Caenorhabditis elegans: one gene and its partners. The protein of the gene in region 1 purifies or fractionates together with the protein of each later gene. This does not show direct contact. Each region holds a gene or a part of one and is shown on either strand. Other genes may lie near its edges. The genes, in order: T26A5.6, rac-2 and Y17G9B.8.

Region 1 (10,647 bases):
GAGTCCATGGTTCAATTCCTCGACCGAAAACATAGAATATTCCAGAATAGATCAGTCCTCCAATGTATCCCAATGAAGTATTGAATGATGGACGAATATTTCTGGTTGCTTTGAGCTCTTTAACAACATAAGTATCACGAATATTCTTGTCATATGTAGCTGGATCAATCGTTTGCACATCCTCTCCCTTTTGTTGAATATCCTCGAAAATTGATTCAGCAGCCACCATTCCACTTTTCATTGCATTATGAGTTCCCTTCAGTTTAGCGACATTCAAGAAACCAGCTGAGCATCCAACAAGACATCCTCCGGGGAAATGAAGCTTCGGGATACTTTGGAATCCTCCTTCATTGAGAGCTCGTGCTCCGTACCCAATTCGTTTTCCTCCTTCCAATTGTTTAGAAATCGATGGATGAGTTTTGTATTTTTGGAATTCTTTGTATGGATTGAGATTTGGATTCGCGTAATCAAGAGCAACAACGAAACCAACGGAAACAAGTGGTTGTCCTTGATCCTCGATATGGTACAAGAAGGATCCTCCGTATTGATCAACATTCTGAAAAATCATTTTTTAGAGATTAAATTCTAGAATATATCTTTTAATCTGAAACACTCAAAAAAAAAGCTCACATTTTACTAGATTTTTCAATTTTTCTTAATTTTTTAGATCTTCAGAAACTTACCAATGGCCATCCCATAGTATGCTCAACATAACCAGGTCTATGCTTTGCTGGATCAATTTCCCAAAGTTCTTTGAGTCCAATTCCATAAGTCATTGCATGTGTTCTCAAATCAAATTTATCGAGAACTTGCTTGCTCAAATGTCCTCTACATCCTTCAGCGAAAATTGTGCATTTCGCGTGGAATTCCATACCACGAGCAAATCCATCTTTCGGTGCTCCATCCTTTCCAATTCCAACGTCACTTGTGGCAATTCCCTTCACACTTCCATCTTCATTGTAGAGCACTTCAGATGCAGCGATTTCTGGCCAAACTTCGACTCCAGCTGCTTCAGCCTGCTCGCCGAGCCATTGAACGACCTTTCCAAGACGAACAATATAGTTTCCGTGATTTGCAAGTGGAACTCCAGGTAGCACTGGAACTGGAATTCGACCAGATTCAGTGAGAATAGCGATAGATTCAGAGGTAACTTGTTGGTAAACTGGAGCTCCCAGCTCTTTCCAATTTGGAATAAGTTCATCAAGAGCTCGAGTTTCAATTACAGCTCCTGAGAGAGTGTGCCCTCCAATAACAGATGCCTTTTCGACAACACAGACACGAAGTTCTGAAATTAAAAAAAATATGTTTACTCTAAAATGTATTTGTTTAGATTTTACCTTTCTGAGCTTTTTCAGCCAATTGTCTCAATCGAATGGCTGCTGATAAACCAGATGGACCTCCTCCAACAATGACAACATCATAAACATCACTTTCTCGTGCCAAATCAACATCCTTCCACCGTGGATCAGTGGATCGATCCTTTACAGTATAGTGAGTAGTCGTCCATTGTCCGTTGACGACGTTGCGAAGTTGTGATGAGACGCGGAATAATGTGACTCCACTTATCCGCATTCTGAAGTCACAGAAATTGAGAAATGAGAAAGAAATCGATAATTGAAGAAATAATTGTTGCATTTTAATTTTAAAAAATTACGTGAATTTTCAATGAAAAATGTATTTGCTTTTTTCGCAAAATATATGCATTCTGGTTACTGTTAAATACAAAAAGGTGTGCGTCTTTAAAGAATACTATAATTTCAAATTTTCTGTGGAATTTTACTCTATTTTTCATAGATTTTCGAAAATAATAATAATAATTAATAATTAATAAATAAGCTTATTTACAGAAGACTCAAATATATCCGTTGATATAAATACTTAAATTTTAGTAATTCTGGAAAAAAAACAATGATAAACCGGTAGAATTTATGTAGCAACCTATTTATGTTTGAAACTACAGTACTCATTAAAGACGCACGCCTTTTCTCATTTAGCAAAATTTTGTCGCGTCGAGACCGGTGACTGTATCTTTGGGCGCATAAAATTGAAAAAAGAAACAACTAAAAATATATTTAGACACGATGGGAAAAAACAAATCGATTGACCAACTGCAGACAAAACAAACAAGTCAACAACCAGCCAAGCCAGCCACAATAAATGGGTGATTTACTATCAAAGATACATTTTTCGAATTATTTTTGGGGTCACAAAATTGTAGTTCTAAATATTTTAGCTAAAATTTATAACTTTCTTCTACGTATTCCTCAAATGAAAACAAAATACATAATTGTTGTGATTTTCGGAAAAGAAAAGCAAAAAATCAGGGTAAAGTGTATCTTTGCGTACGTGTAGAGGAAAGGAGAGATAAGAGGAGTAGACAAAAGGGCAAAGTACAACGAACATGTGTCTCCCACGAGGGACAAAAAGAGGAGAGACTACAAATCTGAACGTCTACAGTGCAAAGGTAGCTTAGTGACGTCACAGGAAAACAAAGTTTGTAGGGGGTTCCTGGGAAGTTTGAAAAGTTTGTTGAATTTTAACATTATCAATTGTAAATTGTGCTTTTAAAATGTGAATAAGAAAACTGGAAAAAATATTATCCGAGTTTTTGAAAAAAAAGTTTTCTCTTCAACTAAATATTAAACGTTATTTGTTTGCCTCTTCAACTTGTCTACGTATTTAAAATCAAAACATTAATGGTCACAGATCATAAATCACAATTCTATCATTAGAAGAAAGTAATATATAAAAGGATGTTCATCTTCACCCGTATATTAAACCAATTTTTGAGTTTAAACAAATGCATAGTTATATTGATTACATGAAAAACAAACTGATTAGACTTACATAAACCGGATGAAAACGATTCGATCATTAAGAGATCAAATTGAATGGAACACAAACAAAACAAAGGAAATATGACAGAAATTCTAATTACAATAAAAAACTTTAAAAGATGATAAAATGCCCATTATACATATTTGACTTTAATAAATCACTCAGATGGCTCCTCTGCCTCTTCAACACCTTCTTGTGCGGTTGCTTTTCGATTCCACCAGTTTGAGAATTTTGCTTTGACTCGACTACCGGTTTCTCCTGAAAACACGATCGAGTTAATCACTTTAGTATTAAAAATATTTTTTTCGTTTTGGCAAAATGTCAGTTTTGTAAATTTTGAACATTTTGAATAATTCAAAGCAATGAAAGCTATGCCCTCAATTTTTTACTGCTACTTCATTTCTCGAAATTTTTTAGATGCTATATTAATTTCCAAACCCGAAAAAAATTACCAATGGTATTTCCTAAATTCTTTCCGGCAGTATTTACAGTTCCAATAACTTTTGAAGCTCCTTCAACTCCATTTACGGCATGTTCAAAACGAAGATACACGTCATAGACTCCCATTTGTTCCGAGAACATGTGCCTGAAATATTCAGATTGAAAAATGTATTCATGTTCTGAAATTCCTCACCCTGGCGCAACAGATGTTAAATCTTCATGTTTGTTTGCAACCCAAATTTTGTGATTTTTAGTTCTCCGCCATTCGTTTACAAAAGCGATTCCAAAATGAGGTATCGCTGCTTGTAGATCGGAACGTGACGTGGCAACGAGGCCAAGAAGATAGTTTTTCATTTGTAAACGAATCCATTCATCTGATCCATCGAATTCAGCATTTGAGGATTTAACCTGTTCTTCGACTTTTTTGAGAATAAAATCAGCGAATCGAAGATCTGCAGTAGTTAGAGAAACTACTCGTTCCAATGCTGTGTCGTTGACAAATTCAATGTGATTATGGACAAGAGAACCGTCGTCTTCGATCTGAAATTACTCAAGTTTAGTTAGAAACCTGAAAATTGTTAATTTAAAATACAAACCTTCACAATAACATCAAATAAATCCTTTTTCATCGCAAATAAGGCATTCGTAGCTCCAAATATACAACTCTGAGTCTTCGGGACTAAATCCATTGATTGAATTGATAGATATGGATCAAATGATGATCCTTGTGTGAATAAGCTTATAGGAAATCCACACGAATCCTTTTCTTTCAATGGATCATCATGTGAAAGCTGAACACCAACCTCCTCTTCTATCACTATTTCTTCGCTTTTTCCTTCAGTTTTTGAATTTACATTTTTGAAATGACAACTCGTATTGACCCCGATTGTTGCGTAGAACAGACCTTCTTCCAAAAGCTCTGAAATTCAAAATTAAACGATTTTAAAATGTCTGTATATTCTTACTTGGAAACATTGAAACAATAGCCAGCATAGTTTCTCCTAATCGTAATCCAGTTGGTGCAATGAATAAAACTTTCCGCTCTAATAGGAATAATTTAAAAAGCAGTAGAGCTCGGTGACGGAATCGTATAAAAAGCTCTTGAATTGATATTTCTGAAACTGATATCGCTAATTAAAATGTGAACATTTGAAACTATTTTCATGTTTTATTTTAGTAAATTGATTCAATAACGTACCATGATGAGCTAGATTTGAAAAGTATTCTCCAGTAAGATTTTCGTCGAATATATCGCAAAGATTCGTATACATTTGAGCAAGAACATCAACTTTCGAAAAATCTTTTTGTTCAAAATATGCCTGAGTTATTACTTCCAATTTTGCTTTTAATGGACCAAAAAGTGGTATTCTTGAAAGAACGCATACAGCTTTTTGAACACTGGTCCTAGTCACATCTTCCGATTTATTTATTAATTCCTGCAAAGTCAAACAGTTTTTATCTGAAGAGTCATATAAAATCTCACTTTTGCATCGATTTGTCTGTAACACGAGATGCCAAATATCGATTTTCCAGGTTCTTCTCTAGATGGAAGCAAAAAGAATATTGTATCTTTTTGACAATTATGTACACCATCCGGCAACGCCAGTGATGGAAGAAGATGCCATTCATCGGGTAATCCCGATTCGCCCGTGCCATCGAGTTTCGGGTGCGAGTATTCTACCTACAAGATTTATTTTATTGATTTTTTACAAATTGAGTTGATGAACTTGAATTTAAATCTTCACTCCATATAATACAAAACTTAATAATTAAATGTATATGAAAAATACTGCAAAAATAGTAAAAAGTACCAAAAACGTTCTGCTTTTTGTGAAATGTTCGATTGACTGTAACATTTATTTCAAATTAACTGCAAAATATACGCGATTTTGTAGTTTATATTGCCATTTTATTACTTTCCTGCACATTTATGACCTTAATCGTTACGTTTTCGAGTTTATTCTTTTATGTATCATATTTTCCTGATTTTTCTGATAGTTTGCCATTTTTGTTACCTCACATCCTCGCTTGTGATGGAAACTAACGACGACCACATTCAGAATTGGATGCATCTTTCTCTGAACTGTAAGCTCTAATGTTTTCCCGAATTTTACCATCTTCAGATAAATTCTTATGGTTGCTATACCGGAAAACGGAATATACTCGTAAAAAAAGATTAATGTAGCAAAATTTATGGATTTTAATTGTTTTCAAAATGAAAAATTGAGATTTGCACGCTGATAATGTTTTCCGATAGGGATGGAAACGATTTTAGCGTTAACCAGTCATTAAAGTAGGTTTCCAACTCGCACCTCATGTACACCACAAAAATGAATAATTCAGGAAAAAATGGGCGATCAACGAGAAATTTACAGAAGAATTAAAGATATTAAAGGCATTTCGTAGTGGAACAAGTGAGGAGATTTTCAGGTTTCAATGAAAGGAAAGAACAAGGGACTTTTCAAAAGTCAACAGGAAAGGTACAGAATTGGATACTCACGAGATCCAGATTATCATAAATGAGCACGTTATTACGGCTCGTTATTGAGATTTGTTTCAGGTTTGATTCGCTGTGAGAATGAGAAAAGGCGGTTGAAAGAGACGAAGTAATGAGAGGATTGGGCACGAGTGCCGTGGAAAATATGAGAAAATGAAGGGAATTACAGTAGTATACTCGTGAAGGTAAATGAACATTTGAAATGGATTGAGCAGATCGAAGAGATGTTGTGGAGCAACATATTATGTGTTCACAAGCCATGGATTCTTGGCAATCGTCTCTGCTGAACGATCTCCATAATCGTAGAGAAGCTCTTCTCCTTGTGCGATTTGACGCCTGGCGACGAGAATCAGGTGATGCGACCCATCGATTTCCACCACCTGGAATGTTTAGTTTTGGAATTGTTATTTACATTTTTTTAATTTATCAAAGACTTTCTTAATAAATTTCAAATTTTGAAATGCTCACTTTCGTTTTGAGATTCGGCCTTAACACGGAATGATTGATGAGTCGTCCTTTCCATGGAGATTCTTTTGTCGCATCGATACACCATTTTTTATTGTTGTGCTCAAAAAAGTACATGTAGGATCCGATTTCCTCATCATTCGAATATTGTTCTTCTATCACTTTTGCTTCCGAGTACTCCATCATAACACCTAGAATACTTTTTAAAAACAATATTACAACAATTATCTGTGTTATCTACATACCTCTGTATTCGACAACAAAGTCTCCTTTTTCAAAGTTAACTTTCGTTCGAATTCCTCGCCCCTTCACAACATCTTTGTACACTTCAAGAAGTCGTTCATTAGTCCCCTTGAGTACGGTATCGCGAAGAGCATGTTTAGCTTCATCGCTAATTTGCTTGCTCGTCTTCCGATTACTTCGCCGCACTTGGAAGAATTCTGTGATTTTATGGTTTGAGACATCTTTCACCGACACTCCTTTTCTGAAAGAAAAACTATTTGGAAATTGAAGTTTTCAGCTTGGACAATTTCTGTGAATATGTTGTGAATTCAATTAGAAATATTGAAGTTTTTAAACGTTCTATTACAATCCCTCTTGTCACTAATCAATCATACCTGCTCCTTGTGTTTTTCGACGGTGTCATTCTTCCTGAAGATGAAGAGTGTGAAGCCAAAGACGATGGATTTTCGGAGTTCTCAATATCACTAGATGGTGACGCTGCTGCGGCACGATCCTTTCGCATTCTACTCGTTGCCAGCTTCTTCGCGGCAACTTTCATCCTTCGAGTGACACCGCTGAAAAAATAATAAATTTTGTAGGGTGAGGAGAATAGTAAAAATAGAGAAATTTATAAAGAAGCAAAAGAGGTGTCATAGAAATAATAGAAATATTCGCCCACAATTTATTTTTTTTGTTTTGAAATGGTTGGGTAAAAATATTATAATGTGTTGTTTCAAAAACCCAGATATTCAATATGATTTCATCGGTCCTGAATACTGTAATTGAAAATGGAAAAGCCATCTTGGATGTACCTGAAAAAGTAGTTGGGAAGAGGGTAACAGAGGAAATTGAAGCGGGCAGAGAGATGCGTAAAGCAGATTGAATGGGTTTTCGGAGGAATATTTTTTTTAGAAAGTGAAGGTTTCTATTGTGAAAAGGGTGGGCTTTCACCGATTCCGTTGAATTTCCAAATATCAAAAGACCGAGTAGAACATCATCATTAAGATATTTATCCACATTTCGTGAATAACCTCATTAGAAATCAAATTCAGTGGTTTTTGACGAGAGCTGAGCACAAAGAACAATGTCGTGCACACGCGACTAAATTCAAATGGTGTGCAGTCATATGGTTTTGGCGGGAAGTGCCGTGGAGCGTTATTGCACTCACGGTAGATGTCGGTGGTTGGTGTAAAAAATGGTGGATTGAAATTATGGAATTGAACTTTAAAATGTATATTTCCGTAATAATAGATACACTTATTGGGCTCGTAAAATTAAACAGAAAAGATACTCAAAGATTAAAATTTAGATAAATTTTGACGCCATGCGCATGACTAATGTTTCTATTTATATTTTAAATATTATACCAACTGGAATTTTAAATTTAGATGTCCTATTGATCTATTAATTTTGACTGAATTGAAAAAAAACAACTATGAGAAACAGAGCAACAAATCGATGGCAACATCGTGCACAAGAGTGTCATCGCATAAAAAATGCAGTTTGTCATTCTTCAATGCGACTACATGAGAGCCCGACGAAGAAGATATGCTGAAAAAAAGAACATCGAATCGGTGTCGAGAATCTGAATGACATAAGAAGATGCAGCCGCTGGTTTATTGATGCTGGCAGCTAATCGATTATGAATGGGTAATTAGAAAACGATCGGTATATTCTATTCCATTCCCTTCCTATTTATGCTGCGGTCGATAAAACGCTAAATCGATAAAAAGTTTAGTCGTTGTAAGATTGAGCAGCAAACAAAGAATGGTGCCGTCCACCCGTTCGTTTTCGACTGTTTTGTCAATTCAGCGGTCTACGTCACAACGCCACATAATTGTAGGCCAGAAAGGATGTCAGGGGAAATCGATACGAATTATCAGGAATAAGGAAGAAATATTGACCTTGAAAACCCAGAATTGTATTTTAATGGAATAAATAGTAAAAAAGAGGAAGAAATAGTGAAATCAGGGAGTGAAAAGAAAGGAGGCTGGTTATACGATCAAACAACAAACAGGAATGCACTATGGGGTGAGGGTGAGGAGAGTCGCAGAGAGAGAAACGGCTTGCGTCGAACACGCCAGTGGTCCAGCTTGCGCCTTTTCCGTTCCTTGCCCATAGTTTCTATTTCGATTTTTGCACGCTTTTTGCTTTAATGTTTTGAATGTGTATTTCTCTCTTATTGCTTTTAAGAAGCATTTAAAAGCAAAAATAATCAAATTTTAACTTTTTTCATCGTAGTGCGGAAAATTATGTTCAAAATTTGTCAATTTATTTAAAGATAATTCCTTACTCGGTCTTATTAACGCTTCAATCAAAACAATTAGAAACAGTTTTCAAAAATAAGATGAAAAAAGTCCAAAAAATTAAATAAATAAGAACCGACAAATCGATCGATTTTTTAAAATCACTGTGTTCCGTTTGAGACCCTTCGAAAATTCCATGTACCTTTAATTCAAGCAGTTCACGAAACTTTTTTTGGGTACTTAATTTACATTTTCTTTTATTAAAAGCCATTAGAATCTCGAAAGTTAATCTAATTAATCGCTTGAAAATGTCCTGAGAAAAACTCCGTTCTCTGCGTTCAAGTCTTTAATTGATTTACCGTAGTTACGCCAACTTTATGACAGTTTTGTATCATAACTAACCATTTTCCTATGATTCTAATAAAATATATTATTTTAGATGCCGCCGAAACGGAAATCAAATGGAAAAACGCCAGCGAACGGTAAAAAGGGCGCAAAGAAGGCTAGGAAAGAGTCAAGTTCAGAGCACGAACATAGTGCTTCAGAAGGTGAAGAAACTACTGGATTCGATAAGTCGTCACTTCAACGATGTGTGAATTTTGATTTCGAAGCTCTGATGAATGATCCGTCTTTCCAACATCCCGAATTTGTACATACAATGGACCCAGAAGCTTTAAATTTGGAGTTCTACGACAAAAATGGACTTGACAACCCGATACATTTCCGATGTGATCCAAAAAGAATAGGAATGACGTGAGTATTGATTTTTCCAATTAATTGTAAAAATAAATATTTTTACAGACTTCCCTCACCAGATTTCTCAGTGGATGATGTCCTCGAACTGGTAGGCGGAAATCGAATGATAGAAGTTGTTCAAGTCCAGAATCAAGGAAGTGTGAAAATGTCGTTACAGGAATTTATAAACTTCTACAAGTGAGTAATTACAAATTAGTATTAAACACCAATCAAACTTCATTTTCCAGAACGCCACAAGAAAAACGAGAAGTACTGTACAATGTTCTATCTCTAGAATTTTCCCAAACTCCCTTAGAAGATCTCGTAAAATCTCCAGAACTTGTTCGTCAAATCGACTGGGTTGGAAACCAGTGGCCAGATGCTCTGCGCCAGAGGTGGATCTCATTCAACGGAAGAGACAAAAAATTCTACAATCCGCATCATACTTTTCCAAAAGTTCAAAACTACTGCCTGATGAGCGTAGCGAACTGTTATACAGATTTTCACATTGATTTTAGTGGAACATCTGTGTGGTATCATGTACTGAAAGGTCGTAAAGTCTTTTGGTTGATTCCACCAACCGAAACCAACTTTTTTATTTATCAAGAATTTATTAAAACTGTCAACGATAATGCGTTCTTTGGAAAGTCGGTCGAAAAGTGCCACGTGGCTATCTTGGAGCCAGGAGACACGATGCTAATTCCAAGTGGATGGATTCATGCCGTATATACTCCAGATGATAGTCTCGTTTTTGGAGGCAATTTTCTTCACTCACAATCATGCAAAACACAATTAAGAGTTTATCAAGTTGAAAATAAGTTGAATGTGAGTTTTTACAGAAGACTTGTAAATAACAAATTTGAAACATTTCAGATCACTAGAAAATTTCGCTTACCGTACAATGAAGAACTTATTTTCTACGTTATAGCTGATTATGTAAAACAATGGACAGGAAGAGAATATGTGAGACCACTTCGAATCGAAGATGCAAAATATGACTATGTTGGAGACAAATGGAAAACCGCTGGTGGCCATCATAAGAAAATCGAATACTCAGATTACGAAACTGGAGTTGAATTGACAAACGATATGATTAAAGGAGACGAGGAATCCACAAAAGATGGTAGAGTATTTTTTATTTTTTAATGTCAAAAAAGAATGAATGACTAATTTAAAATGGTTTCTTTGATCTTTTTAATATTT
Region 2 (10,647 bases), on another chromosome or scaffold:
GAGAGATAAGGAGACAAAACAAGTCAAAACGAGGAAAAGACCTAGAATGAGGGAATTGTCGTCTTATATAGCAGGTTGCGGTGGAAGGGCGGGACGAGACAAGAATGTTCCGGAAGGAAATGCAAAATGTGGCGCGCGCTGCCGAGAGAGTTCGGTGGAGCGCGCCTGCACGGGTTACGGTAATTATCATTACAAGTCTGGTTCGACGTCGGAGGGTAGCGGCACTTGTGCGACTGGTTGGAACGAGCTGTAGAAGGCGAATCTTGTAAGTCCTGAGACGATGCGTTCCAATACAGACTGCTGACTCTCCGAGTAGTCCTGAAATACACGTATAAGCTGTGTGGGAAAGATGTAGTGAGGGGCAGATCCTTACATTATTCAATGCAAAGCATACGAGAAATACGTCTGTTTGTGGAAATTTTTTGTGGAAATGTTGGCGGAATCTGGAAAGAATGGGAAATTTTAAGTAGGCTGTAAGATTTGATATGAAAATGTTCCCTCTCATTTAATATAGACATTATTTTTGTCATTGTTAAATTTGTTAAATTGTTAAATAAGAGTTTGCTCGAAAGTTGCTAGTAAAAATAGTGAAAATTAGAAAAAAATGTTGTTGAGGAAAAGTTCCGAGCAATTTTTACTGTAAAAAAATTGTACTTTCTCTAAAAATGAGTAGATTTCACTAGAATGAATTGAAAATTAGTGTTCAACTATTCGAGTAAAATTTGAAATATTTTACCATTTTCACCTGTTTTCCAGAAAATTTAATAATCATAAGTTTTTATCAAAAAAGGTACAAATTAAGCCTAGGCCAATTCCAATTTTTATTGAAAATTGCTCTGAAATAGGCGATAACTTTGAAAAAATGTTATCAAATAATTTGAGAAAATATTTATGAAATCTGGCTCATTTTTCGAGAAATTTTTCAGATTTTTCCGCTCGTACTGATCGTAATCTTCCTGTCCAGCTGTGTCCCATAGGCTGAGATTTATTGGCCGTCCGTCGACCATCACATTTGTTGAGTAGGTGTCGAACACCTGCAGAAATATTGAACATTATTTGAATTTATAGTCAAATTTCAGACCGCTTTTAATTTTCTCTGCTCAAAATCAGGCAAAGTATTTTCGGTAAAAATTACCCACTTTTTATTCTAAATTTTTACCCATTTCTACGTTTATGGACAAATGTTGCTTTTTTTGAGAAACAAGTTCAACTTTTTATGTTTTCTTAAATAAAAATGACGATTTTTTTCTGATTTTTGCACGCCATTTTTCTCAAATTGCCCAACAAAAAGTGGCTCACCGTTAGAATATATTCTCCGGGAAAAGCGTTTGTAGTGTACGATAGCAGGAGACACGTCTTACCGACGGCTCCGTCACCAACGACGACACATTTGATTGCTTGCATCTGGAGCTCCGCGAGCAAAAAAACTGAAAATTGGTTCAAGAACAGGAAAAATTTTAATCATGATATTGAAAAATATAGGAGATAACCTTCGGGGGGAAACCTAATGGGGTTATTCAAGTAGTGTCGGAAAATTAAAAAAGTGTAGGAATATTAGGTCACTTTATGTACATGTTTTTTATGTATTTTAATACACAAAGTGACGTAATATTCCTACACCTTTTAATTTTCCGACACTACTTGAATAACCCCATAACTTGTTCCCTCGAAAAACTAAAAAATGAGAAGCAAAACTGGATATAGTAAGAATATTTCATCTTGTCGTGTTTATTAAAGGGATGAAGCAATTACAGAATAGAAGAGTAAATGGGGACAAACAACAGACACGTGGTAAGTATAAGGAAGAAAAGTATAACGAAACAGGAGTATAAGGAAAATATAAGGAATGACCTTGAATGCGCGTTTCATTTAGTTTTATAGGTGAATTGGGCCGGGCCGAAGAACGATCGAGAACTACTGATGAATCCTATGAGGGAGGTAGGGATTCCATGCAGGCGGGATAACGTCTGCCACGCGCGCTTTGCGGTGACCCCCGAGCGGAACCCGAAAAGCGTCGGCCGCAGCTAAAACCACATTTCGCACTGAGTTGTCTGTACACCACGCCTTTGACTTTTCGTCATAGTGCAGAAATTAGGATGACCATCAAATTAAACTATGGCTTCCATGTGAGAGCCGCATGGCGGAGGCGCCTTTGCCGGCCTCACGCCGGCCCGCCGTCGCCTTCGCCCCTCGTCGATGTATGTGCGCAACGAAGTGGTAGTTATATGGAAGCGGCCGACACGTTCGAGGTTTCGCGCCGCACTATACATACGGATACTTGCGGCGTTAGTGGCGACATGAGGCCGGTGGAGGCGCCTGACCGGCGCCCACATGGAAGCCCTAAAAGAATTCACAATCAAAGCTCAAATTACGAGTTCTCGCCAAAAACATGGTGAAACTCCGATTTTAGCTTTGAACACACACGTGGTTCGTTTTTTGGTCTGTTATAGGTGGGTACTAATCATGTGGTAATAACTTTGTGATGATCAGTCCTCAAGGCAAGGGATTATCCTCTCCTTCAATTTTTTTTCCGACCTGAAAATATGAAATTCCAACGACGAAAAGCTTCAGAAGCTTTTATGTATTGAAAATTAGTATGGTAGTTGAAATTGTTGTAGTTTCTGTAATTTGAGTTCTCCAATTTCCTCGCATTTTAAAGCACCGTGCAATTGCTCTTTTTGGCTCTCGTTTGTGGTGTTTGTGGCGGGGTGAGCCCAGTACGAATTGCCTCATCGAAAACTTGTTTCAATCCAATTTGGGTAAGCGCCGAGCATTCCAGGTACTTGACCGCCTTGATTTCCTTTGCCATCACGTAACCCTGGGTGTGGCTCACTGGTTGGAGCCGACGTTCACGGAGCCTGCAAAAATTTTATTTTTCAAGAGTTTTTGGGGGTATTACATTGGAGTTGCTGTCTTTTTTGGCCGAAAAGGTAAAAACATGGGGAGATATGCAAAAGTTTCACACCCAATTTCTTGCCATATCTCTCTCAAACATGATAAAAAAGTTGTTTCGATGCTAAAATGAATCCCAAAAAATTACCGTTCAATAGTATCTCGATCCTCGCGTAAATCAGCTTTAGTTCCAACCAAAATAATCGGTGTATTTGGGCAATGATGTGATACTTCTGGATACCATTTTGCACGAACATTCTCAAAACTTGCTGGATTATTCAGTGCAAAGCATACGAGGAATACGTCTGTTTGTGGAAATGACAGGTGGCGGAATCTGAAGAAAAATGGGGAAATTTAAGTGGGCTGTAAATTTACATTCACATGTAAATACAATAAACATTCATTAGATAGATTAGATATAGTTTAAGATTTTTTTCATTCCCTACGAAATTTGATATGAAATGTTACTTTTTGATAGACATTCTTTTTGTCATTATAAAATAGAATCCGCTTGAAAATTGCTAGAAAAATTGTAAAAAGTAGAAAAAAAAGTTGTGGAGGAAATATTTTTAGCAATTTTCACAATAACAAAATTGTACTTTTAGCAGACAATAGGTCGGTTAAAAATTTTAGAAGTTTCAGAATGTTTCGCTCTAAAATAGAAAATTGCTCTAAAATAGGCGAAAACTTTGAAAAAATTTACTATCAACTATTTTGAGAAAATGAAATTTGGCTCATTTTTTGACGCATTTTTCAGATTTTTCCGCACGTACTGATCGTAATCGTCCTGTCCAGCTGTGTCCCATAGGCTGAGATTTATTGGCCTTCCGTCGACCATCACATTTGTTGAGTAGGTGTCGAATACCTGCATAAATATTGGGCTTAATTCGAGATTATAAGGAAAAAGCCCAATTTCAGACCGTTCTCCAATTTTATCTGGTTAAAATCAGGCAAAAAAAGGTAAGAACTTTTCATATTTTCATCATGTAAATTAGCACTTTAATCGTGTTTTCGGTCAAAATTTTCCACTTTCAGAGGGTTCATTCAAAAAATGTTTTCATTTTTACGTTTACGGACAGAAGTTGCCTTTTTTTGAAAAACGAATTCAACTTTTCATGGTTTTTTAAATAAAAAAGTATAGATAGATTTTTTTTCAAATTTTTTTTCAAATTTTTGCGCTAAAAAATAAGATTTTTTGAAAAAAAAATTTTCAAGTGCCAACCCGAATTTTTCTCAAGTGCCCCGACAAAAAGTGGCTCACCGTTAGAATATATTCTCCGGGAAAAGCGTTTGTAGTGTACGATAGCAGGAGACACGTCTTACCGACGGCTCCGTCACCAACGACGACACATTTGATTGCTTGCATCTGGAGCTCCGCGAGCAAAAAAACTGAAAATTGGTTCAAGAACAGGACAAATTTTAATCATGATATTGAAAAACATTGGAGAAAACCTGATAGGAGGGGGAAATCTAACTAACGTTTTCCCTCGGAAAACTTTAAAAAATAAGAAGCAAAACTGGATCTAGTGAGATTATTTCATCTTGTCATGTTGATCAGAGGAATTAAGTAATTACAGAATAGATGAGTAACAGACACGTGGTAAGTATAAGGAAGACAAAAATAACGAAATAAGAGTATAGGGAAAATATAAGGAATGACCTTGAATGCGCGTTTCATTTAGTTTTATAGGTGAATTGGGCCGGGCCGAAGAACGATCGAGAACTACTGATGAATCCTATGAGGAAGGTAGGGATTCCATGCAGGCGGGATAACGTCTGCCACGCGCGCTTTGCGGTGACCCCCGAGCGGAACCCGAAAAGCGTCGGCCGCAGCTAAAACCACATTTCGCACTGAGTTGTCTGTACACCACGCCTTTGACTTTTCGTCATAGTGCAGAAATTAGGATGACAATTGAGTTCCAACCGCTGCGACACTGAAAAGTTGTCAATAGGGCTGTTAAACAGGACGTCCTCATCGTCCTCCCAATTTTTATACCAAAGTCCTCGGACTTAACACATTAATTTTGATAACGAAAATAGATTATTTGGGTTAATATTATCTGGATTCGAGTTTGAGGCTGAATTTTCCTGTTAAACGGACGCCAAAATAAGCCATCAAAAAATGACAAGGACGACCTAGGACGTCCTAAATAACAGCCCTAGTTGTGAAAATTTGAGATTTCAGCAAAATATAGCCGATTTTTCCAAAATTTTTGAGTGATCATAACTGTTTTTTTTAGCAATCTAATTACGAAAATTTGTAGTATTGTGCCATTTTTAAATTTTCCTCATTTAAATTTTTTTTTTAACGTGTGGAGTTTTTGTATCTTTAGGCTCAGGAAATAACCATTTCTAAGCCTAAAGAGGGGTAATGGACATCACGTTTTATTAAAATGGATACATTTCAAAAAAAGGGAATAGGGCTTCCATGTGAGAGCGGCGCGGCGGAGGCGCCGTCGCCCTTCGCCGGTGTGTGTGCGCAACGAAGTGCGAAAGGTAGTTATTTGGAAGCGGCCGATACCTTCCGAGTTCCGCAGCTCGGCGTGTGTAGCTTGGCGAGTGAGCAACGTAGTGCGAAACACAAGTACCCATTTCGGTACTCCACCTTTACTTGTCATTGGTCAAGAATGTTACAGAAACAAAATTTTCGCTCTTGCCGTAAATAACATTCACCTGTCAGTAACTTTATTTCACACTAATTCCTAATCTATAATATAAATTTGGCAGTACATTGCTTTAAAAGAAGTACCAATGAACGACACTATTGTAAAAATTACTGAAACAATATATTATTCTTTCAAGATATTTTTTATTGCTTCGGTGATTGTTTTTTCGGCATTATTCCCAGTTTATGTGTACGTGTTCAAAATGAATCGAAAACTCGATAAAGCGGTATTCAACACGTGCATTGCATTAAACATAACTTTCTCATTCAGATGATACTGTTTCCAGCTGTTAATCATCTTTATCAAATGTCCAGAAACGTCTATTTCCTATACCTAGCGTTCCTGTTTTTCTTGTGCTTTAGTTGTCTTAATATGTGAGATAAAAAATTCTTGATCCAGAACAATAACTTTTTTTAAAAGAAATTCTCCTAACTACTTTAACATCTCCTATTTAACACTTCCTATTGTAATATATGTGCTCTACATAATAACACAGGTTTTCTCCCTGTTGACGTTTCTCCTGTCTCTCCAACGATTTATATTATATTTCAAGCCCTCAAGTGAACAGTATTTAACCAAAATACCATTTTCAAAGAGATTTATCTTTTTTTAAATTTAATTGTGGCTATCCTTTGAAAACAAAATAAATGTATTAGTAATAACTACAAACTGAATATCACCTGCTTAAATGTTACGACGTTAGAAAACGGTGCTTTGAATCAATGCAAAAACAATGTTTAAAGTAGTATTTATTCAAAACATTCGGTTTGGTGCTACAATTGTATTCATCGAGTGTAAACTGATCCCCGAAACATTTTCGCTAGACTGTCTCAGTTTAAAAAACTTCCCGAAACCTCCCAGGATAAATTCTCGGTAAGGTTTCTGTACAATGAGCATAACAATTGTTGATATGAAACCATGTGTTGCAACTATAATATACATAGTATTATTCAATGCCGCATTGAAAAATGGTGTATATGAGAAATAGGCCATTGGAATGGAGATAATGGAAAAGGGAATTGCCAATTGCAAAAACATCGCCTTCATCAGCTTTTTTTGTAGTTCCAAGGTTTGTTTCGAACGGACTTTGCCATATTTTTTAAGAGCACGGTAGATTTGAAAAAAGAGTGCCAAGCAGGTAACATAAAGTAGTATTGCTTCTCCTACAGTCCCCATCAGATATTGCAATTTGTTTTCCACGGCAAGGTAGAGAGGGAGAGCGCGAACTTCATCTGATAGGCAGGGTAGGGCTGGCCAAGTGTCGTCAATAAACAAAAATTTTCATTTATTTCTGTAGTCGAAAAATGAATCTCACACGTGATTCAAAAAATTAGAAAGTCATTTCTTGACACTTCGTGGTGTCGCTTTTCGACACTGAATACGTGGATAAAAATGAATGAAAATTATAATTGTTAATCAAAGTATTTTATTAAATTTTTCAACTGCCACATCATTGTTTTCTGTGCTCATTTGAAAAAACGTGAACTGGGAAATAAAATCAAAAATAAAAACAATAAATCAACGTTTCGAGTGTCTAAACTCGACGGTGTCGGTTTTCGACACGTCAAATATTGACAAAAACAAAAGTGTCGAAGAGTGACCCCCGTCACGTGAATATTTTTTAAGTTGTCGTATTTTTTGACATTTGGCCAGCCCTAAGGCAGGGAAGAGACTGAAAATTGATAATTTAATTTCTATGATTAACAAGGCTATTATCTGGAACCACCTCTATGATAAAATCTTTTTTGTACTCTATTCCTGGTGGCATTGTAGCATAAACTGGATAGAAGGTGGCAATAGCAGTAAAATAGTAAAATGCAAAGAATGGCGAACGTGCATATTCCCATTTTGTTGGATTGATTAACAAAATGGAAAGTCGGTTTTCTAGTACAACAATGACTGCGCATCCGTCGCTGAAAACTCCATTGATAATTTATTTAAAGGTGGAGTATAGAAATTGGAGATTTTTCATAACTGCTCAAAAGTTTGGAGAAAAAATGATCGAATTTTAGTTGCAATCTCAAAATTTTGTAACTTGGCAGTGGCAATACGCGAAAATACGTTTTTATTGTATTGTCATACTTTAATACGAATATGATCTAATTTTGTGCACTCATCGACAAAAATTTACCTAAATCAATGACAAAACCAAAGTACCGTAATATGTATCAAAAAGTGCTTATTAAATAAAAATCAAGTTTCTACCGCTGCGCCACTGAAAAGTTGTCGAAGCTTGAGATTTTACCTAAAGAAGGTCATTTTTTTTCCAAAACTTCAGGTCATAACTTTTTTGAGAAATTTTCAGAACGTCTCGTTACGAAATTTGGTAGTTGTGGCCCACACAGCGCATTTTTTACTACAAAAGCTGGAACAGAGTATTTGATTGTGATTTTTTTCTTCAGTTTTTTCAATGAGACTTGTCTGAATTTTCACTGAAACATTCGAACAAACTCAAAAATTAATTTAAACTGTTTGAAATGTTCATAAATCTTCTCTAAATTTTTTTTTTCAAAAATTTTGAAAATTCAATAAAAATCAAAATTTTTTTCCAAAATCAGATTTTTTCGCGTTTTTTGTCTGAACTTTCACTAATTGTAACTAATTTGCTTTTTTTCACTGATGATTTCTCAATTTTTAAGTCTGTTCGGATGTTTTAGTGAAAATTCAGACAGAAAACACGACAAAATCTGATTTTGGAAAAAATTTAGATTTTCATTGATTTTACAAGATTTTTGAAAGAAAAATTTTAGAGAAGATTTATGAACATTTCAAACAGTTTAAATTAATTTTTGAGTTTGTTCGGATGTTTCAGTGAAAATTCAGACAAGTCTCATTGAAAAAACTGAAGAAAAATCACAATCAAATACTCTGTTCCAGCTTTTGTAGTAAAAGATGCGCTGTGGCCCATTTTTGGTCTTAAAAAACAAAGTCTCTAATTTCGCTACTCTACATGTAACTAGATTTGAATTATTTTTCTCGAACTAACTAAAAACCGCCGCCACTGTTATCCAAATGTACTCTGCAACTTCTATATCAAGAATGCCTATTCGATATACACCCACTAACGGAACCAAGTAGCCAAGTGTGCAGAAATAGGAGAGCATTAAATCAAAAACAAAGGAGGTTAACTGCAAGTTGAATAGGCTCCACCTCATGGAACTCATTACTTTAGGAGTTTGAAACAAAATACAGTAACATCCAAATAAGTTGACTGGAATTGAAATGAATCCAAAAAGATGAAGAGTTGATATGAAAAAACTCGGAGAGTCGAAATAAGTATTTTGATAGGTAGCTGAGCAGTAAGTATTCATTTCCAGTTTTGGTGATACAAAATGCGGAATTATTCCCTGATTTGTTTTCGGCGCTGTTGTATCTTACAATTTAGCAATTCCAATTATTTTCTCACCTGCGCAAAGATAGCAGATCCAAACTGTGAGACGCAGTAGTTCAGAAAAACTTTGCAAAAACGAATTCTGGATATTAAATGATCAAAATCTTACTTGTCACGGAATAGCTGGAAAATGAGTCTTGAATCGCATTGGTTCAATCAGGTTTATTTTTAAAAACTAACAGAAAGAAAGCATCATAATTTTAATCAAATTTGGATAACAGAGCTTCGAATAACAAATTTGCTTTGAAACTCAAAACTTTATTGGGATCAGACAAATCAAGTTTTGAAGATATGAAAACGGTCACAAACAACAGATTATAGAAGGCTCTATGCAAGGTTTCTGGCGTTGAAAAGATGTGCTTGTGCTTTACTTTGCCTCTTCGAATTCAAGCTCGTTGTCGTTCATCCATTCTAAAATTTCGAACTTCATTCAAAGTAGCTTCATAGATTCAATACCTACCAATTGAGTGTTCGGCGACACTCGAAAAGATATTTAAGAAGAAAATAAGTCATGAATTTTAATAGAAATAATGCAGCATCTTTGGATGGCCATCGCTATGTTCCAGCAGACCTTGGCACGTTTCCAGAATTTCTCACTACGAGTTGTTGGAATAGGGATGGATGGCTTCTCGTCAGAGATAATAATGTAGGTAATGTGGGATGGAATACTCGACATAACTGAGATACTGAGAACAAAGAGCAGATACTGCTCTAGAGAAGCAAGATGCTTATATACTACTTATGAACGAGTAATAATCTGAGGAAGGCAGTTCCGATCAATGATTCTTTAATCATATGCTTAATGACACATCATTTTAATCGGTAAGTGAACTCTTGTCCTCTTAAAATGTTCAGGTTCATCAGTGAATTTTTTTATCATATGATACACGGCATGGATTTTTGAACAAAAATTCAAAAAAAGATGTTCCAAAATTTGAGAACATTGGCGTTTTTCTCAAAAACGAGAACCGCAAGGGGGTCTAAAAGTACAGTAGAATGAAAGATCTAGGTTTGGTGAACAAACCAGTAAAGTTTCAGAAAAAAAATTCGAGGAAATTTTAAGATATTTAGGTCGAAAGATTTTCATTTTATCAATATTTCATCGTTGTTTTTCTTAGATGGAGAACACATTTTTTAGATTAATTTTTTTATAAGTTTGCAGGATCGATAGTCAATTTGTGGTTTTCTAAAACAAAGTTTTGAAAAAATTGAGTTAAAGCTGGAAAAGAGCTGAAAGAAAACATAGACAAACGGGGGTAGTTTCAAAATTGAAGCCTCTCACGTGAAATTAAAATAAATTTTGGAACATCTTTTCTTGAATTTTTGTTCAAAAATCCATGCGGTGGATAGTTTGTCCCATTATACTGAACCACCTGTACGTCTATATTAGAACTATCTTCCTCATTCTAACATGTCTCTAACTGAAAACACGCGCTTCTTTCGTGTGTGTGGGCGCATATCTTTCATATCACCTCTTGGCGCGCACCGAAAATGTATTATGGAGGTCAGACTAGCTAGCGGAGTTGTGTGAACACTTATTGCCATAAAAATATATGTATCTTTTAGATGAACCGACCTAAAGCACATGAATGTTAATTGTATTGGTGTGGTAGAATTTTTATTGCTTTATTAGACTCGAAATTGTCGGAAAACGCCGAATTTCAGAAAGACAACGAATACTGTTTTTTCAAGTCTGTT
Region 3 (10,647 bases), on another chromosome or scaffold:
GAAAGACAACAATATTCAAATGAGAATTGTTGAAGGACTGCTGGGAGCAGGTGGAGATCAGTGCCAAAAAAGGAAATGGTCACAAGAAGAAATGAGGTCATAATCCAATTAATTGACAGTATTTATTGTATGTAACTCCTAAAAATCCAGGAATTCCTTCTCATAAATCTCACAATGTCTTCTATTTGTTCATAAAATTTGTTATTTTCAAAAATAAAGCTCTTATTCAGTTTCAAAAATAGAACATTTTATTATTGGCGGCAACGTTATTCGAAAATTATACAAGAGAATTAATTCAGAGGGTGCAGAAAAATAAAACAATTTGAAATGGTGGTAGATGAATCAATCAATCTCCATGCAATGCATAAATGGGATGCATCTATGGTCTCGATTATTAGAAATAAAAGTGGTTTTAAATCCAAAAAAACATTTTAAGAAATACATTTGCACGATCTGCAACAATAATAGTTGCCGTCATCCCATCATTCCTTCTCACATCATAACCACCTATGACACGATAATCACCACATCCCGATAACTTTTTCGGCAAATGAACAATAAATTCTCTATCTGCTGGGGCAACGTGATATGCTATACCTTTAAAAAGTGGTTCGAGAACATCTTCAACGTCCCACCTGAATGCATCTAAATCGAACCATGCAGATTTCAGTTTTCTGTCGGATCTGTGCATCCAGTGCTTCAGAAATATATTGACATCTTCGATTTTCAGAAAAGCGGTGAATGAACGGGCATTTGTAACAAACACATCATTAAGATCACATTTCGTTGATACTACGTTCATGTTTCGTGTTAAAATCATTTGCATTTGTTTAGATGGTTCTATTGAGAATGGGTTTCTATTTAAACAAATTGAATCAGTTTTGCCGGAAAACTGTCTCAATGCATCTTCATCTTGTGAACTATTGTTGTCCGATGTCATGGACATCATGGACAACCACCCAAACTCCATTCCTTTGAGTTCATTAGAACATTCAGGGTCAGCTGTACTAATATGTAAGCTATCAAGTTTTGTTTGATGAAATATTTCCATAAGATGATTCAAAAATTGTCTCACTCCAAAAAATGGGGTTTCCCATCTTTCCCCTCTGAAACCAACATGCACTCTTATGGGCTTCTGTACAGTATGGTGGCTGGGGGTTGAACATTCGAAAGTGTAGAATCGGAAATCTCTACAACCGGAAACGTCAATCAATATTTCATTTGAATTAATTGCGATGATAAAACGTTCGGTTTTTATACCAAGGTGTTTAGTTTGTTGCATTGCAGCTTTAGATGTGAATGATAATTCAACTCTGTAATGAATATTTCATATTGACAAGGAAATGCGATTAGTGAACCATATCCCTGGATCAAGGCTATTTGAGAACGGGATGTTTGAATTTTAATTTTACTAGTCGGAGGAAGTCGAGAGGTAGGCTCGAAAGACACCGGCTTGTTGAGTAATAAAAGTTTCAAAGTAACTATACATTTCATTAAAACTTCTCGAATCACTCAAGCAATTTTTCGAATTACGCTCTTCAGCAAACTACAGAAAAAATTTAATGATGATCTATGTACTCACAATGCTTCTATGCACATTCTGCGCAGCACGACATCAATCGATTTTTGAGGTAATTTGAGCAATGTGAAGGGAATAGGCACATAGTCATCCATGGTCACAAATAAAGAATGAGCAGATGGGAGGATTGAGTGGTAATGTTCAGTGACCTCTTATTTCTCTAACTCTCTACTTACTTGTTATTATACATCTGCTGCAGAGACAAAGATTTCCTTCGTCCGTAACCACTCCCATGTTCCCAGGACCCATTAACATATTCTAACGTCTTCTTATTCTGACAAAAAGAATCTTCTCAAACACTTCACTCTCACGGACGAACGGACAATCATCTTATGGAAATATTTCATCAAAAGAGAATTGATAAGTTATCATTTGATACTGCACAATTCGAAAGTACGATTTGTGATGAATTCGAAGGATTGGAGTTTGAGGATTTGCAGCTAGGCACAGTGTTTGGCTTTAACAGTTTGCTATATGAACATGTGTTGAAACAGTTTTCCGGTAAAACTGATTCAATTTGTACAAGCAGCAAAAACCCGTTCTCAATAGAAGCATCTAAACAAATGCAAATGGTTTTAACACGTAACATGGACATAGTTGTACTACACCAATCATTGAAATATGATCTTAATGATGTACTAAATAGTGACAAATGCTTCCGCATTCGTCGCTTATCTAAGAATCAAAGATGTCAATATATTTTTGAAACACTGGATTCACGGAGTCGACAGGAAACTGGAATCTGCGAATTTCGATTTTACTGCATTCAGGTGAGACGAAGATCTTCTCGAATCACTCTTTGAAGGTATAGAATATCTAGCAGATAGCTATCTCTAGTGCGCTTTCGATGCTGAGGAGACTGTGGATAGAGAATTTTTTGTTCTTTTGCCGTTGGGATTGACGGGATGTGACGAGTATCCTGTCAAAGGTGGTTATGATGTGAGAAGGAATGATGGGATGACGGCTATGTACTATTTATCATTGTAGATCGTGCAGATATATTAATCAAAATGTTTTTCTGGTTTTAAAATCACGTTAATTTTTAATAATCAAGACCACGCATTGGATCACTTTCTAATTTTTTCTGCACTCTCTGAATTATTTCTCTTGTATAATTTTCGAATAATGTTGCCGCCAATAATAACACGTTTTATTTTTGATAAGAACAACTTTTATGGACAAATAAAAAACATTGTGAGATTTATGAGAAGGAATTCCGGGATTTTTAGGAGTTACATACAATAAATACTGTCAATTAATTGGATTATGGCCTCATTTCTTTTTGTGGCCATTTCCCTTTTTTGGAGCAGTTGATGCAGTGAGCCCTGCAACTTCTCGGAAGGCAACCACGTATTTCTGAGCAACCGGCATTGGAGGGCAGAATCCTGATGCATAGCTGTCGTCTTCGAACGCTACTTGATATGGTTCTCGAAAATCTGCTGGCGGGGAGTGAACTATTCCTGGAAAATAATTATTTTATTTTTGAAACTTTTGTGAAAATTGGTACCTTTGTAGAAGCAAGTGGTTTGTGGATACAACGCCAACACAATCGCATTTTTCTCGAAAAGTGCATGCTTGTCTGATGCAGGATTCGCTTTCCATTTTGGGAGGGGTAACAAATGGCTTCTCGCGAAAACTGTCAACTTCTTCTTGTCATCATCAACGTCTCGACACTCATATCGCGAGTTAGAGTGACATGTGACAATATCAGCAAGAATCCAGTTTCCGTCTTTACTGAATGCCGCCACTGAATCTCCGTCGCCTAGTTTCGAGCCATCCTGTGGTGCAATAGCTCCAACATATTCTCCAGGAAATTGTGTGTCATGGCTGGTCCATAATGGAAGAAGGTCGCCGCGAACCTTGATCAGTTCCATTAAATCTCTCCGACTGATGTCTCCGGCCATTTGGGAGCGATAATCCATTTCAGCAACACGTTTTACTTCGTCCAAAAGATTTCTGTAATATTTATTTTAATTTTGAGAGATTAAAGATGAAAACGAACCTAATGAATGATTGTTGTGATTCCACAGATCGATGAGTGCTGGTGACAAAATGTGAAATTCCATCGAAAACCATGGAAACTTCTCAGTAAACCCGTTCAGAATATACCCAGATTTCAACCGAATTTGTGCACAGCATGCAGAAATCGCCGAATTTGTACAGATTGCAAATTTGAACAGATTTTCGAGGCAATTGCCCCGAAAATTTTGTTGAAACTATTCAAAACTTTACTTCAAATTTTAAAAATTTATCTAAAACTTGGTCTTCATTGATTTCTTTTGTTAAGATTTTAATTGATATTTGCAAGAAAACTTTAAAATCGTGGCGAGACCCAGCCGTACAACCACGTGCCCCTTTAAACAGACTACTGTATTTATATTGAATTTTTAATGATTGGATTTCGCAAAAATTAGTTATAAAAATTGTTTAAAAAAACCCACTTTACCCTTTCCATAGGGGTTCGGCTCATTATCTCGGAATTCTTGAAGTTTTTGCAGATTCTCGTTGATAGCGTCTTGCTTCGATTTCACTGTTGGCAGCTGGAAAATTAATTTCAAAACTAGGAATAAATAAATAAATAAAACTCACCTTTTTGATAACCTCTTCGGCGGTTTTCTTCTTCATTTCCTCGGTGATTTGCACATCGTTCTTCTTCCGAGGCATTTTGAAATTATGCTATTTTCCTGAACAAGGAAATGAAGAGGTGCAATAGAGCAGATATATATTTAAACGGGAAGAATCGAGAGAGACCTGATTACGTGATGAGACGGGGAGAGTGCAGACATTACAAGTCGTATGCTGTGAATGAGGCAATGAAAAGGCCAGGTTGTTGCGGTGGGAAAATAACGTATATGGAGTAATTTACCAGTGAAAAGCCGGGAATAGTTGAAATTCATATTCTAATCAATCAATCAGAGCAGTAATGCATTGTAAAATTATACCTCAAACAAATTCATCTTTGAAAAAAAATCAAAATAAATGCGGGCAATATACATGTCGAATATAAACAAAATAGTCGTGGGTTGTCACAATTTGGGCATTGGAGAATCTATATACATAAAACAACTAAAACAAAAAAGGAAAATAAAATAGGGGAAGTTAGTTGGAATATTCAACAGGAACCACTCGGTTATTTAAATACATATACAATAATACAGACTTATGCACATTACTACTAATTATAGGACATATATGGAGTTACTCGTCCTCTTCATCCAGTTCGAATGTTTCGAGAAACGAGATCAGGTCGTCGACTGGCGCAATTCCGTTTTCCAGCGAGATCATATCCTTTTCGACCTCGAATTCGTGGATTTCGACTGGCTCTTCGACAATCAGCACTCGCCGGTTCATGCACTTCACCGTTTGCTCCAATTCGATGTACTGAAAATGTTATAAATTGGAAATCGATAGAATTATTGCTATACAACTCACTCTATTTCTTCGGAAAGGATCCCTGGTGCTCGAGTTGTTCTTGTACACGATCCTCGTTTCCACGTGGCGCTTTCCTCGAATTGAACACGTGATTGATGCAGTCGAAGTCATCAGCCGGCCTTGTGAATCGAGTCCTGGCTCGAGATTTCCGTATTCCCGGCAGTGTGTGGTTCTCAGGAGACGAGTGATAGTCTGAAACATGAAAAGTTATTTGTGTGTAATATAAAACCGATTTACTTACTCTCTTCGTCTGTGATCGGATCAGGGTTGCAACCACAAAGCTATCTGTCATTTGGAACCTTTCGTTTTCCTTCTCTAGTTGTTCGAGCAATGCAAATAACGTTTGGAACGACATTTCATTGGTTGTCTGGATAGCAAATCGAGCCACATTTTGTCCCGTTTCCTTCGGTTCGGTCAGGAGAGAAGTCTGAAATGAGATTTATGCTTTATCAAAAATATGGCCAAGAAACTAACCAGAATCAAACTAGAGATATCCTCGACCGACAGCTTCCGGCACTGAGCGGCAAAATAATGTGGTCGTTGGTTGGGATGAAGAAACACGTGCTCGACAAGCGCTTTCTCCGATTCTCTGGTCGTGTGGAACCATCTTTGCGAGAAATAGTCGTAGCGCTTAAGACGAAGATTTTCAATCGGCACAGTCTGAATGTGCCGGAGCACTTTGACAGCTTCATCGCGGATGATTGTCTTGCTCGGTTTCTTGTCGACGAGCTTTGGAGTCTCATCGATACGATGAACGGAACAGTAGTTCTCATCTTCGACGAGCTCCACATCTTCTCCGTGCCCTTCGATAATTACATCATGATTGATGTTGGGTTGTGGTGGGAGGGAAGAGCAACCGGCTCGAGCGGTTTCCAAGCGATCTTCTTCGGCGTAGTTGGCGACGTATCTGGTCGCCGTCAAATCGCGAAGGACGGTGCGAGATGGAGCTGACATTCTGAAAAACGTTGATTTAAAATTTTATAAAAAATTTGAAGCAAAAATGAAAGAGAAAACTAAAAAAAAAGTAAATGTACTGAAGTGATTGGCAGATTAATAATAATTTATCGATAAAACCATTTTTTAAAAAACTTCATCAGTTTTTGTGAGTGTCAGCAAAGAAGAAGAAGATTCACGATCAAAAATTCGTTGAGCCTATATGAAATAGTTGCGCTGGTTTTTCGACGGGGGGATCAAATACGTCAAATAGGTCAAATAGACGAAGCATTCATAAAAAGTACAATATTCATTGAAAAATAGTTTTGGATTTGTTTTTTTGTTTTCTTCATTTTTTTGTTGAAAAAATAATGGTAATTAAAAGTTTTTAATAATTATTTAAATCAAGATTGAAATATCAGAAAACGACAAAAATTCGTTCGAGAACTTTCTCAAGACTACCGTACTCTTTAAAGACGCATGACGATTTTCACATGGGTCTCACCACGACTTGTCTGAAATTTGAATGTTCGTTCAAAAACTTTTTTTTTTGCGATTTTCAAAACCAAAGCTTAACAAACAATTTTCCTCAAGTTTTCAACGCTTTTTGCTCGTTTTTTTCGCTCAAATAAATTATTTCAGAAGGTTTTGCAATGGGGGTTATCATCCCCGCTGTACTTCTCGCTTCGGCGACGATAATCGCTTGGCTTCTCTACAAACACTTGAGAATGCGTCAAGCTTTGAAGGTTTGATTTCAAAATTCATTTGAAGATAATTTAAATAAATTTTCAGCATCTCAATCAACCACGTTCATATCCAATCGTCGGTCACGGACTGGTCACCAAGCCAGATCCAGAGGGATTCATGAACCAAGTAATTGGAATGGGATATTTATATCCAGATCCACGTATGTGTCTTTTGTGGATTGGTCCGTTCCCTTGCCTGATGCTCTACTCCGCCGATCTCGTGGAACCAATTTTCTCGTCGACGAAACATCTGAACAAAGGTTTCGCATACGTTTTGCTTGAGCCATGGCTTGGAATCAGTATTTTGACAAGCCAGAAGGAACAATGGCGTCCAAAGCGAAAACTCTTGACACCCACCTTCCATTATGATATTCTGAAGGATTTTTTGCCGATTTTCAACGAGCAATCAAAGATTTTGGTTCAGAAAATGTGTTCCCTCGGAGCAGAGTGAGAATTTCAATTTATAACGCTTTCAAATATTCATTTTCAGGGAAGAAGTTGATGTTCTCTCCGTTATAACCTTGTGCACTCTTGATATCATTTGTGAAACTTCCATGGGCAAAGCTATCGGTGCTCAACTCGCGGAGGTTCGAGAAATTCTTCAATCGCAACATTTCTAAACGTTTTTTTTTCAGAATAACGAGTATGTATGGGCGGTGCACACAATCAACAAGCTGATCTCAAAGCGAACAAATAATCCGTTAATGTGGAATTCGTTTATTTACAATTTGTACGATAGTTTTATCATTAAAAAGGTCAATTCAATTTTATTTTTCAGAACAGAAGACGGACGAACGCATGAAAAATGTCTTCGTATTCTACATGATTTCACGAAGAAAGTAATTGTCGAGAGAAAAGAAGCGCTACAGGAGAATGATTATAAGATGGAAGGTCGTCTCGCATTTTTAGATCTTCTTCTCGAAATGGTGAAAAGTGGACAAATGGACGAAACAGATGTTCAGGCAGAAGTTGACACATTCATGTTTGAAGGCCACGATACAACATCTACAGGACTAATGTGGGCAATACATCTTCTGGGAAATCATCCTGAAGTTCAGAGAAAAGTTCAAGCGGAATTGGATGAAGTGATGGGCGATGATGAGGACGTGACTATTGAACATCTCTCCAGAATGAAATATCTCGAATGTGCACTAAAAGAAGCTCTCCGATTGTTCCCATCTGTTCCAATTATTACAAGAGAATTGAGTGATGATCAAGTGATTGGAGGTGTTAATATTCCAAAAGGAGTCACTTTTCTGCTCAACCTGTACCTTGTTCATCGTGATCCTTCGCAATGGAAGGATCCTGATGTATTCGATCCGGATCGTTTCCTTCCTGAAAATTCAATTGCTCGCAAGTCTTTCGCCTTCATTCCATTCTCAGCTGGAAGTCGTAACTGCATTGGCCAACGTTTTGCACTCATGGAGGAGAAGGTCATCATGGCTCATTTGTTGAGAAATTTCAATGTAAAAGCTGTCGAGTTGATGCATGAGGTGAAACATTGAAAATTAAAATTGATAAATTAAATTCTAACTGAAAATTGTTCAGGTTCGTCCGAAAATGGAGATTATCGTTCGCCCAGTCACTCCAATTCACATGAAGCTTACCAGACGCCGTCCAATCGTCTCTCCATAATTTCAAAATAGCCAATTTTATTCTTGATGATTATATATTTTTAATGCATGATAAATTTTAATTTTCATACTTTACCTTGCAAATGTGATGAACAAATTCTTATTTCGGGGAGTGAACTATTCCTGGAACAAAAACGATTTGATTTTTTAAGCTCTATAGGCTCTACACTAAATTCTGTGAATACGTACTGCAAATATATCAAAACTAAATTTTTCTCATTGCAAAAAGTCTGAATTTATTGATTTTTGAATGAAGTTATAGCTAGTAATATTGATTCTCATGGAACAGCTCATATTGACAAATGTGACAAATTTTGATACGGTATTTTTAAAGGCGCAGCAAAAAATTTTCTCTATGGTCCCGCAACGTACACAGTTTCACTAGATTTTGACATGCCGCTTTAAAGGCACGTGGATTTATTTAAATGGGTAACACGGCCCGGCAAGTGGTACATCCATGCAAATGCGCTCTACTGATAATTTGAGTGTAGACCAGGTTTGGGCGCGTGATAACGAAAAAAGCTTTGGTCCAAAAAATTTAGAATTTAGTTTCGGACATTTTTTATATGCATCACAAAAAAACTGGACCAACCGTTTTTGAGATACACGCGCCCAAACGTCCAGGTATACGGTAGACAAATTGCGTACAGGTACCACTTCTCGGGCCGTGGGTAATATGGGAACAAACAATTCTAAGAATGCGTACTGGGCGACATATTTGGCGCGCAAAATATCTTGTAGCGAAAACTACAGTAATTCTTTTAATGACCACTGTAGCTCTTGTGTCGATTTACGGGCCCACTTTCGAAATGAGTTTCTTTTTGAATAGTGATAACAAATTTCTCATTTTCCTTCGTTATTTTGTATTATTTTCTCACGTTTTGCTTAATTTTAATATTCCATAAATGGTTTTAATTCATTCAGAAATTCAGGCCCGTAAATCGACAAAAGAGCTACAGTAGTCATCTATAGAATTACTGTATTTTTCGCTCCGAGATATTTTGCGCGTCAAATATATTGCGTAGTACGCATTCTCAGAAATTAATGTTCCCGTAATACCAAAGTCATACAGGAAAAGTGAATTTTTCGAAATTCAAAATTTGAACCGTTGATATTTTCTTGTTGATGTTTTGCAAACAACACTCCAGCGCTTGAGCATATTGCCATCAAACACCAATGAGAACGAAAAAGGTTGAATCGAACAATTCGAAGAATTTTCTATTTTAAGAGAAAAGATCTCTAACCAGTGCCTTCTCGCTCCATTATCCTTTGGAACATGTGCGTGTCTCTGCACGCTTTAGACAAAGAAAAATATGTATAATATCTCTAAGATGAGAATTAGAGAATTGGGGAAGGGGGGTCAATTGGATCGGACCACCCAATCTTCCCATCTGCTCATTCTCCATTTGTGACCATGGACAACGGTGTGTCTATTCCATTCCAACTGCTCAAATCACCTCAAAAATCGATTAGTTATGTTCTTCAAAGAATGACTATCGGAGATCTGTAAGTAAAATGTGACCAAATATAATTATTTACAGACCTGCAAGTGGAACTATTCGCTAGACATTCACTAGATGACTCATTTGTTGAGAAATTTCAGTGTAAAAGATGTTGAGTTGGTGCATGAAATGATATTTGAAAGTTTATAAATTAAATTCTTAATAAAACTTGTTCAGGTTCGTCCAAAAATGGAAATAATCGTTTGCCCGGTCTCTCCAATCCACATGAAGCTCACCAGACGCCGTCCAATCATATCTCCATGATTTGAAATTAATTTGAAATTTCGAACGATTTTATATTTTTATTGCTTGATAAATTTGAGTTTTCTGTAAAAAGTTTGAAACTTCAACCTTGAAATTCCCGTTACTGGTCGAGTCCAAATCTACTTTCCTAGAATCCACGTTTTAATTTTGAAATTGGCATAATAATTACAGATGAAATATAGTACCCAAAAGGATATGGATCTAGTGAAAGTTGACGATGATGTCGTTCGAGAAATGGAAATTCGGAGGCAACAGCACAGTAAAAAATACGATCGGAAGTTTGAGGAATTGGTGAAATCGATGAGTGAAGCTCATGTGGAACCAGAGAAAATGAAAATTCCATTTTCGAGAAAACCGACTGAGCAGGAGACCAATAATTTGCGAGAAGAATGGGAAAAAGAGTACGCTGCTCTTTGTACATCTGGAAGGTGAATTTTATTATGAAAACGCATAAAAGTGCAATTTTTGAAATCAAGGTGTTCGGTGGCTTTAGTCAAAAAAAATCCATTTTTTCCGGTTTCATTTCTGGTTTTGCAGCCAATACCTAACGAGACCCA

The links.
Region 2: the proteins of T26A5.6 (region 1) and rac-2 fractionate together in Caenorhabditis elegans (co-fractionation; one large-scale study listed by BioGRID). This does not show direct contact.
Region 3: the proteins of T26A5.6 (region 1) and Y17G9B.8 fractionate together in Caenorhabditis elegans (co-fractionation; one large-scale study listed by BioGRID). This does not show direct contact.

What each region holds. Positions count from the first base shown.
Region 1 is NC_003281.10:6,445,335-6,455,981, forward strand, and holds T26A5.6 (UDENN domain-containing protein), read right to left. Parts: upstream 5,358-10,647; 5' UTR 5,352-5,357; coding exon 5,295-5,351; intron 4,961-5,294; coding exon 4,763-4,960; intron 4,716-4,762; coding exon 4,478-4,715; intron 4,401-4,477; coding exon 4,245-4,400; intron 4,199-4,244; coding exon 3,876-4,198; intron 3,820-3,875; coding exon 3,473-3,819; intron 3,425-3,472; coding exon 3,291-3,424; intron 3,097-3,290; coding exon 2,996-3,096; 3' UTR 2,678-2,995; downstream 1-2,677. Other genes in the region: let-721 (Electron transfer flavoprotein-ubiquinone oxidoreductase, mitochondrial), read right to left, coding at 1-556, 684-1,285, 1,338-1,572; Histone-lysine N-methyltransferase set-1, read right to left, coding at 6,019-6,156, 6,245-6,432, 6,487-6,725, 6,859-7,022; jhdm-1 (JmjC domain-containing histone demethylation protein 1), read left to right, coding at 9,149-9,462, 9,511-9,642, 9,693-10,269, 10,318-10,567.
Region 2 is NC_003282.8:16,301,836-16,312,482, reverse strand, and holds rac-2 (Ras-related protein rac-2), read right to left. Parts: upstream 4,259-10,647; coding exon 4,154-4,258; intron 3,758-4,153; coding exon 3,666-3,757; intron 3,227-3,665; coding exon 3,041-3,226; intron 2,859-3,040; coding exon 2,654-2,858; downstream 1-2,653. UniProt on the Caenorhabditis elegans protein: During gonad morphogenesis, plays a role in distal tip cell (DTC)-mediated guidance of gonad elongation.
Region 3 is NC_003282.8:4,754,463-4,765,109, forward strand, and holds Y17G9B.8 (SGF29 C-terminal domain-containing protein), read right to left. Parts: upstream 4,379-10,647; 5' UTR 4,169-4,378; intron 4,120-4,168; 5' UTR 3,656-4,119; coding exon 3,582-3,655; intron 3,536-3,581; coding exon 3,087-3,535; intron 3,040-3,086; coding exon 2,852-3,039; 3' UTR 2,715-2,851; downstream 1-2,714. Other genes in the region: fbxb-77 (F-box associated domain-containing protein), read right to left, coding at 598-1,313, 1,583-1,674; Y17G9B.11 (PID domain-containing protein), read left to right, coding at 2,143-2,349, 2,400-2,480; memi-1 (MEiosis-to-MItosis transition associated), read right to left, coding at 4,778-4,960, 5,012-5,203, 5,253-5,438, 5,486-5,965; cyp-31A3 (CYtochrome P450 family), read left to right, coding at 6,598-6,690, 6,737-7,137, 7,181-7,277, 7,326-7,420, 7,469-8,183, 8,239-8,325; Y17G9B.2 (uncharacterized protein), read left to right, coding at 9,739-9,830, 10,004-10,025; npp-26 (Nucleoporin GLE1), read left to right, coding at 10,286-10,518.